2 linked regions of the Coturnix japonica genome follow. Each later gene encodes a partner of the first gene's protein in a complex. Links are inferred from orthologs where the notes say so. Each region holds a gene or a part of one and is shown in the gene's direction. Other genes may lie near its edges. The genes, in order: MALT1 and BCL10.

Region 1 (2,757 bases):
CTTCACTGTTTGCTTGCACTATGAGTATCCAGGAATAGAAGATACAATGGATGAAAGAAAAGAAGTTAATGTCGGGAAGCCCCTTATTGCTAAATTAGGCCTCCATCACGGATTCAGAAATAACTGTCTCCAGACCTGTTGTGTGGCTAATAATCTTTTTCATAGTCAAGTAGAATCAAGTCCTGTGGTAACTAAATACTACTTCCCTAGTCGATGCCAACCAAATTCCTGCCCAGGGGCTTACCATCCAAACTGTACTTGCCCAGGCAGTGCTAGACAACTAGAGGCGTGTTCTTGCAATGGGACTTCAAGAATGTTAGCTTCGAGACACGAAGTACAGAATTACTCAGCCCCTGCAGAAAAGAGTAACGTACCAATAGAGACCACTGATGATACCGTTGAACTGGAATTCCTCCTGTCTGACAGCCTCAGGTTGTCTAAGCAGCAGTAGCTGTGGTGTCTTCAACAAAGATGCTCTTTTTCCGTTCTGAACAGGAGATCCTCCACACTGCTTACTCAGATTCTGGATTTTGGAGATTTGGGGATAAAAGGACTGGGGAGTGCAGAGTTGGTACTGGGAACAAGGCTGTGACTTGGGCTGGTTCATATTGCTCTCAGGGAAAATTGTCCGGATCCAAGGAGGCAAAACTGGACTGATAGATTTAGAAATGAAAAAGACATATATAAATGTATTTTTTCCTACCATTAAAGGTTTGAAACATGAGGAGAAAACAAAACCAGACTCCTCAGATTCCTATTCCATGATCCAGCAGTCAAGAAAGTAAAGAACACATGCAAGCATGGGTCTGTGGGAGGAAGCTTCCTATCTGTGTTAGAGAGTGCAAAGAGGCCGGGTTCTGGTGCCAGCGTTTCTCTTGAAGGTGAAGCCTTGGATCTTCCCAGCTGCTGCTTCTCCAGTACCTACTGGAATTGTAAGGTTTACTGTAAGTGAGTGCTTTGTACTTAAATACTCAGCTTTTAGAGGGGAAATGCTTGTTCTGTACAAACAAACGTGCCTAGCCATCAGAGGACAAAAATGTCAGCAGACTTGAGCAGGAAAATGAATTTCCATTTTCTCTGTGATTTTAAAAGAAATCATTAGCCCCAAAATGATAAATAATACCTTTCCCTTCAGTCTCAGTTTTTCAGTATCCGGAGGCTTCTTTTTACATACTGCATTAGCACGGGGTCTGGTGTTTTAGCGTGTTAGAACAACCTTCCTGTTGGGTGTATAAGATGACACAGAGTAAACAAAGGCAGGGCTTTTCCAGAAGTGGAAGTGTGGTGGTTGGATACTCTGGTGTTAAGAACTGTCTCCTCAAGCGAAGTATTGCTTAAGTAAAATGTGCTGAGATACAAAGAATGAATGGGTGAGACAACCGAGAGCTTTGGGGTTCTTCAGGCTGAAGTTACAGGGCTGGTGTACCTGGGCAGAAGCCATTGCTTTCTTGTGGTGATTGAAACAAGCAAGCAAAACCCAAACAGCCTACTCAGTTGTTTTCCAAGCCAAAAGAATTCACGTTCTTTCATGTTGAGAGGATAAAGAAGTCTAACCAAAGAACCCAAGATGGTGATTCCAGCATGCCCAAGTGCAACAAATAGAGCTCATTCACAATCTGTGCAAGCCATGGGATGCTGGCTTTGTGGCAGGGCTGGAGCTGTTGTATATTGCCCTGTAGCTTTGGTAATACTGTTAAATGGTATTGTTTTAATTAAAATTCCCATCATAGAATCAGAGAATCACAGGTACCCCCAATAAGTTGAGTATTCTCAGCGATGTAATGGACGAAGCAATTCGGATCCTCAGTAGAGCACGGAGCCTTCCATGGGATCCAGGTGTGCTGGCTGGGTGCTCTGTGTGCTGCCAGCAAAGCCAGCTGAGTGTGAGCAGCGCTGCTGGCCAGCTCTGCTCATCTCATCTGTGCTGCATGGCGTGTGTGTGTACGTGGGAGCTAATGTAGTCATCTATCTCCACATTGACAGCTGTACTTGAACTGATCTGTGTATGAGTTTCTGATTTCTCCTTTGGAGAACAGTGAGGTATTTATTGATGACTGAGATGCACTGTGCATTAATTATCCTATGCAATATGCAGCTGGCCTATAAATTAACATTACAGCTTGATGAATGTCCCGGCACTGTAATATGACCTGGTACTTTGTCACCGTGTTCTGCTTTGTATGAGAACTTTGTTTCTTACTCCTCAAATAAACTGTTGCCCACAGGGTATCTCTGCGCGTGTAGCTGCTGTTTTCTCCTAATCCTGCGGGTTAAAACTGTGCTGTATTGTAACAGCATACAGCAGAATTCTGCCTGTATCAGCACGCTTGTTTGCAGTCGATCTCTGCTCCTCGTGGCACGGGGGGGCGTCCTGGTGCGGCAGTGCCGTATGCAGCAGCCGTGTCCCTGCACAGCGAGCAGCCGGCGCTCCCTGTCTGCATGCAGGGTGCTGCACCAGCGGTCTGAGCGGGAAGCGATCGGTGCCTCGGGTGCTTGAGATGAATCTGTTCGAACGTAGTAAAGAGAAGGTCATGAACTGTAGGGATGGGAAGGAGACAAAGCTCAGCCCGTGGCCGTAGGGTCTGTGATGGAGATCAACCACAATGATCATCTGGTTTCAACCCCCTGCTGTGAGCAGGGTCACCAACCAGCAGCCCAGGCTGCCCAGAGCCACATCCAGCCTGGCCTTAAATACCTGCAAGGCTGGGACATCCACAGCCTCGTTGGACAACCCGTTCAGTGCCTCAGCATCCTGTG
Region 2 (3,917 bases), on another chromosome or scaffold:
TAGCTGTGGAATATCATGTCAGTGAATCAAGTCTTCCTTCACTGGGTTTGTGAATGATTCAAGTATAACCTGACAAAAGAAAAAGAAGTCAGTCAGTCTCCTGCACTTTGAACCACAGACGTCCTCATATTCTCAGCTACCTCACCCCAAATCCACAAGGCATAGGCAGATTGCTGTGGGTTTGTTGTTTGAAAGCTGTGGTTGTTAGCTCCAGAAATCCATTCAGTTTGGTCAAGGCCCCCCGATCTGTGTCTTTGACTGAACCAAAGTCTTTCCCAATGCCTGGAAGCTTTCTTCCTCACTTGGGCAGCGCTGCTGTGGAACATGAAGCACCCAGGGAGAGGCCCTGCTCTGCAGTGAGGCTGCCTGGGGAGAGGCAGATCAGTGCGGGCAGAAGGGGAGGAATCAGCAGCCAGCCATGGTGCTGCAGAGCCCAGTGGCCTCCTCTCACAATCCAATAGTGCTACAGAGCTTGCAGGGGCCCCTGTGTGAGCACTTAGAACAGTGCGACGTTGTAAGCAGTATCTGAAACTTGTCTGACTTGAAAATGTCTTCTAAACGTGCGTATGTACATGAATATATAAACCAGTGCAGTGTCTGAAATCTTCCCACCTCCCTTCAATAAAAGAGCTCTCTATTTCTCTCCTCATTGAGACTCATGTATCAGTATTGAATTGATGCTAACCTCCTGAAATGAGCATCATACTGAAAGCAGTCTCGTTCCGGCTGCTGGGCTTTTAATTCCAGTTTTATTGGCAGTAAATCTGCTCAAATCTATTCTATTACTGAGTTTTCTGCCCACAGTTACTTCCTTCCAGCTTGCCCCATGCTGGCCACTGTGGTGCACAGATCCAGAATCCCAGATCCAGAATCCCAGCTCTTCAGGTGCTGCGTGGCTTTGAACTGCACCTCTAACTGAGTGGGGTTAATAATATCTGAACTTCAGGGTGTGCAGCAGCTATTTTTGTTAGAACTGTTGTACAGACATCAAGGTCTTCAGCAGAATTTCATCTGAAGAGGAGCTGGAAGATGTTCAGCTAATGACCAATGTGGGAGTGGGGAGCTGGGGGACACCTGCCTCAGCTCAGCAGTGCCACAGCACCTTGTGGGCAGCTCCAGACGATCTCAAAGCACAAGTTTGCCCTGTCTGGGGCTGCAATTTTAACACCCAGCTCTACGGACATCAGAACAGCGAGTATTGCTGTACTTTTAAAGCGTTCTGGGCGGGATGTTTGCTATGGAACGTGCTTATGAATAAGCCAGCGGAGCAAAGCACCTGGAGCATGACCCGCTGTGACACTGAGGGACACGGAGCTCACGGGCTGAGGGTTGAACCAGCCCCGGCACAACCCACCCGGTGGGCGGGTCGGCCGCGTGCCTTCCTCGTGGCCCGGCGGGCGGGGCGCAGCTCGGAAGTGGTACCGGGGGCGGCTTCCGCAGCGGTTCGTTCGGAGCGGTTCCGCCATGGACGGCTCCGGCCCGGCCTCGAGCGCTGTCGGGCGGCCGTTGACGGAAGACGAGATGGCCGACGTGAAGAAGGAGGCGAGTGCCGGGCCGGACGGCGGGCGGGAGCCGGTGCGGTGGGAGGTGGAAGCGCCGTTAGAGCGGGCGGGGGGCGCCTCGCAGCGCGGAGTTCCCCGGCGGGCAGCAGGGCGGAATGGGGCGGAATGAAGGGGGCGGAGCAGCCTCCAGACACGCGGAACTTCCCAGGGCCGGGCTCTTCCCCAGAGCCCCGCCGCTCTCCGTCCGTCTTAGGGTAGAGTAGAAGTGCGGGTAGTTAAGGCGGTATCGGCAGGTGGTTGCAAGGACAGAGCTTAGCTTAGTTTCTTAACAGTTTTATGTGCACAGCTTTTCCTTTAAATGCTGTGTCATAGGTTGTGAGGCGTGTTTTTCGAGTTACTGCTTGCTTCTGTGGAGCCTCCAAGTGCAATAGGCAGCATCCGGTTGATGCCGCAACAACACAAAAGATGAAGGCAGGACCTACTTACATATCACGTCATGCATACAGGCTCGTTTAAATTGATCTGTGTTAGTGACTGAGTTCACGGTTTCTTCTCCCAGCAGTCCATCAGTATCCCTTCAGCCTCTAATCTTGCATCCCATATAGTAATTGGAGGACTTGATGGAAGGCTGATATGTAGTAAGAGAGAACTTCAATTTTAGCACCAAAATGCAATACAGTAAATCTGACTCTAGAGACTCTCCTATCAGGGAGGTTCATTGCTGCTTTGTTATGTGCTCGCTTGGTTGCTCCGAAGTTGTTCAGGTACCTCTGATCAGGCACACTCATGTGAGCTGTGGACCAGGCCAGGTGCTGGTCTTTCTTCATGCAGGCAGCACAGCGATGTTCAGAGCTTGCAGGGCAGGCGTGTGTGAGCATAACAAAAGAAACAGCTGCTTGTCCAGCTCTCAACTAGATTAAGTGGCTCACAGGGCAGTTAGGATATCAGAACAGATCCAGCTTAACTGTTGTGAGAGCACAGCTGTAATAAAATTTAAACTAACATTTAAACTTTTAGCCAGGCTCCTGATACCTTCTCCCTACCATTTTGTCACATCAAAGAAGACTTAAAGCAACTGCCCAGACTGTCACAGGAGTCTTACACCCTTTTCTGCACAATGATCTGTGAGATAGAAAAGTTGCACCATCAGAAATCCCACATGTCTTATATGACAGTGTACCTCAGAAGGCTCTTACAGAGATCTAGGGTAGACTTGTTTAAAGGAGAAATTACAAAGGGTGGAATCTAATGTTGGAGATCTGGGAAGAAGGCAGTGAGACATGCAAGAACACTGATATAGGAACGGGTTTTTAAAGCTCCTGTTCTTCTGTGTTGACTCTTTCTGTTCCTTACAAACTGCTCACCTGCGTGGACAGTCAGGGAAATTCAGAACTGATGCACATCGTGTAGTGTAAGGCATGGTACAGGAAGGTGTTAGTCAAAACACAGTACTCTTCTTTTGAGTAACAACTTGCTTTATACTTCTAATACTGAAGATTTTACTGACTCTCGTGTCTCAGAGTTTGTTGATCGATCCCTCATGGTGGTAGGAAGTGGTACGAGAAGTGGAAAAAATCAGTGTTGCAGGCAGTATTTGTAGCACAGCTTGCTGCAGTTGGACACTTGAGGCGTGTTGCAGAGCAGGTGGATACAGCAGTGCTGCCCTTCTCTGTTCTTACCAAGTCAGTTAGGCCAGTGCCCTGTCCAGCACAGGAAGCTGGATCAAGTCATCATCCAGTTGTGGAACTGGATCCTCTCACTACCAGGCTCAGAAAACACGTAGGGACAGCTACAGCTGCTGCGTGCCCGGAGCCTGAAGGAGCCACCCGTCTCCAGCCGCACTGTTATGCTCTGGTTTCACATTGAATTCAGTCTGACTATGGCAGTTTGCTCCAAAAACCTTCCCTGCTCATCAGTGCACAAGTAAAGCAAAGAGTCTCTTTCACGTTGTTTTCATATAATGTAATCTCAACAAGCTGGAGGAGGTTTTCTTCAGGAAAAAGCCATGATTGTTTCTTTCACCACTTGTATGTAAAGCTTTTTTCCCCACTTCTAGCTCTCAAATTGCTTTTTCTTTGAATTAAATGAGGAAAATTTGATGGAAGGAGGTTTTCTTTCACACTGGCAACTTTCAGCTAGCGGATCTGGCTTGTGTATTTCATTACAGTGAAAACTGTTGGCAAGGGAAACTGCCAGTTCTGTAGTATTATGTAAAATGAAAGCCTGTTTTTCAAGCAAAAAGGTATCATTTGTGACTCATCTTCATAGAGTAGTGGATTGGTTCTTGAAATCAGAGTTGGGAACGAGGCATTAGTTCTGTTTTGAAGTTAACGTACTGATTAAAATAAGAGGAATATAATCTCTATTTTGAAGGTGCTTGTGGTTGTGTGAACCCTATGAGCAAGGTAAACAAAG

Evidence for each region.
Region 2: the proteins of MALT1 (region 1) and BCL10 are in contact, whole or in part, in a cryo-EM structure (PDB 6GK2), measured with the Homo sapiens proteins. The link is inferred for Coturnix japonica from reciprocal best matches to the Homo sapiens genes MALT1 and BCL10. Residues at the interface, in NP_006776.1 of Homo sapiens: Asp46, Gln47, Ala48, Pro49, Trp54, Arg55, Leu74, Glu75, Ser78, Leu79, Val81, Leu82, Glu83, Pro84, Glu85, Gly86, Pro88; in NP_003912.1 of Homo sapiens: Leu13, Lys17, Val83, Arg87, Asn93, Gln97, Thr100, Leu104, Arg107, Asn108, Leu111.

What each region holds. Positions count from the first base shown.
Region 1 is NC_029547.1:743,282-746,038, forward strand, and holds the end of MALT1 (mucosa-associated lymphoid tissue lymphoma translocation protein 1), read left to right. Parts: coding exon 1-451; 3' UTR 452-2,229; downstream 2,230-2,757. UniProt on the Homo sapiens protein: Protease that enhances BCL10-induced activation: acts via formation of CBM complexes that channel adaptive and innate immune signaling downstream of CARD domain-containing proteins (CARD9, CARD11 and CARD14) to activate NF-kappa-B and MAP kinase p38 pathways which stimulate expression of genes encoding pro-inflammatory cytokines and chemokines.
Region 2 is NC_029523.1:14,244,312-14,248,228, forward strand, and holds the start of BCL10 (B-cell lymphoma/leukemia 10), read left to right. Parts: upstream 1-1,288; 5' UTR 1,289-1,464; coding exon 1,465-1,542; intron 1,543-3,917. UniProt on the Homo sapiens protein: Plays a key role in both adaptive and innate immune signaling by bridging CARD domain-containing proteins to immune activation.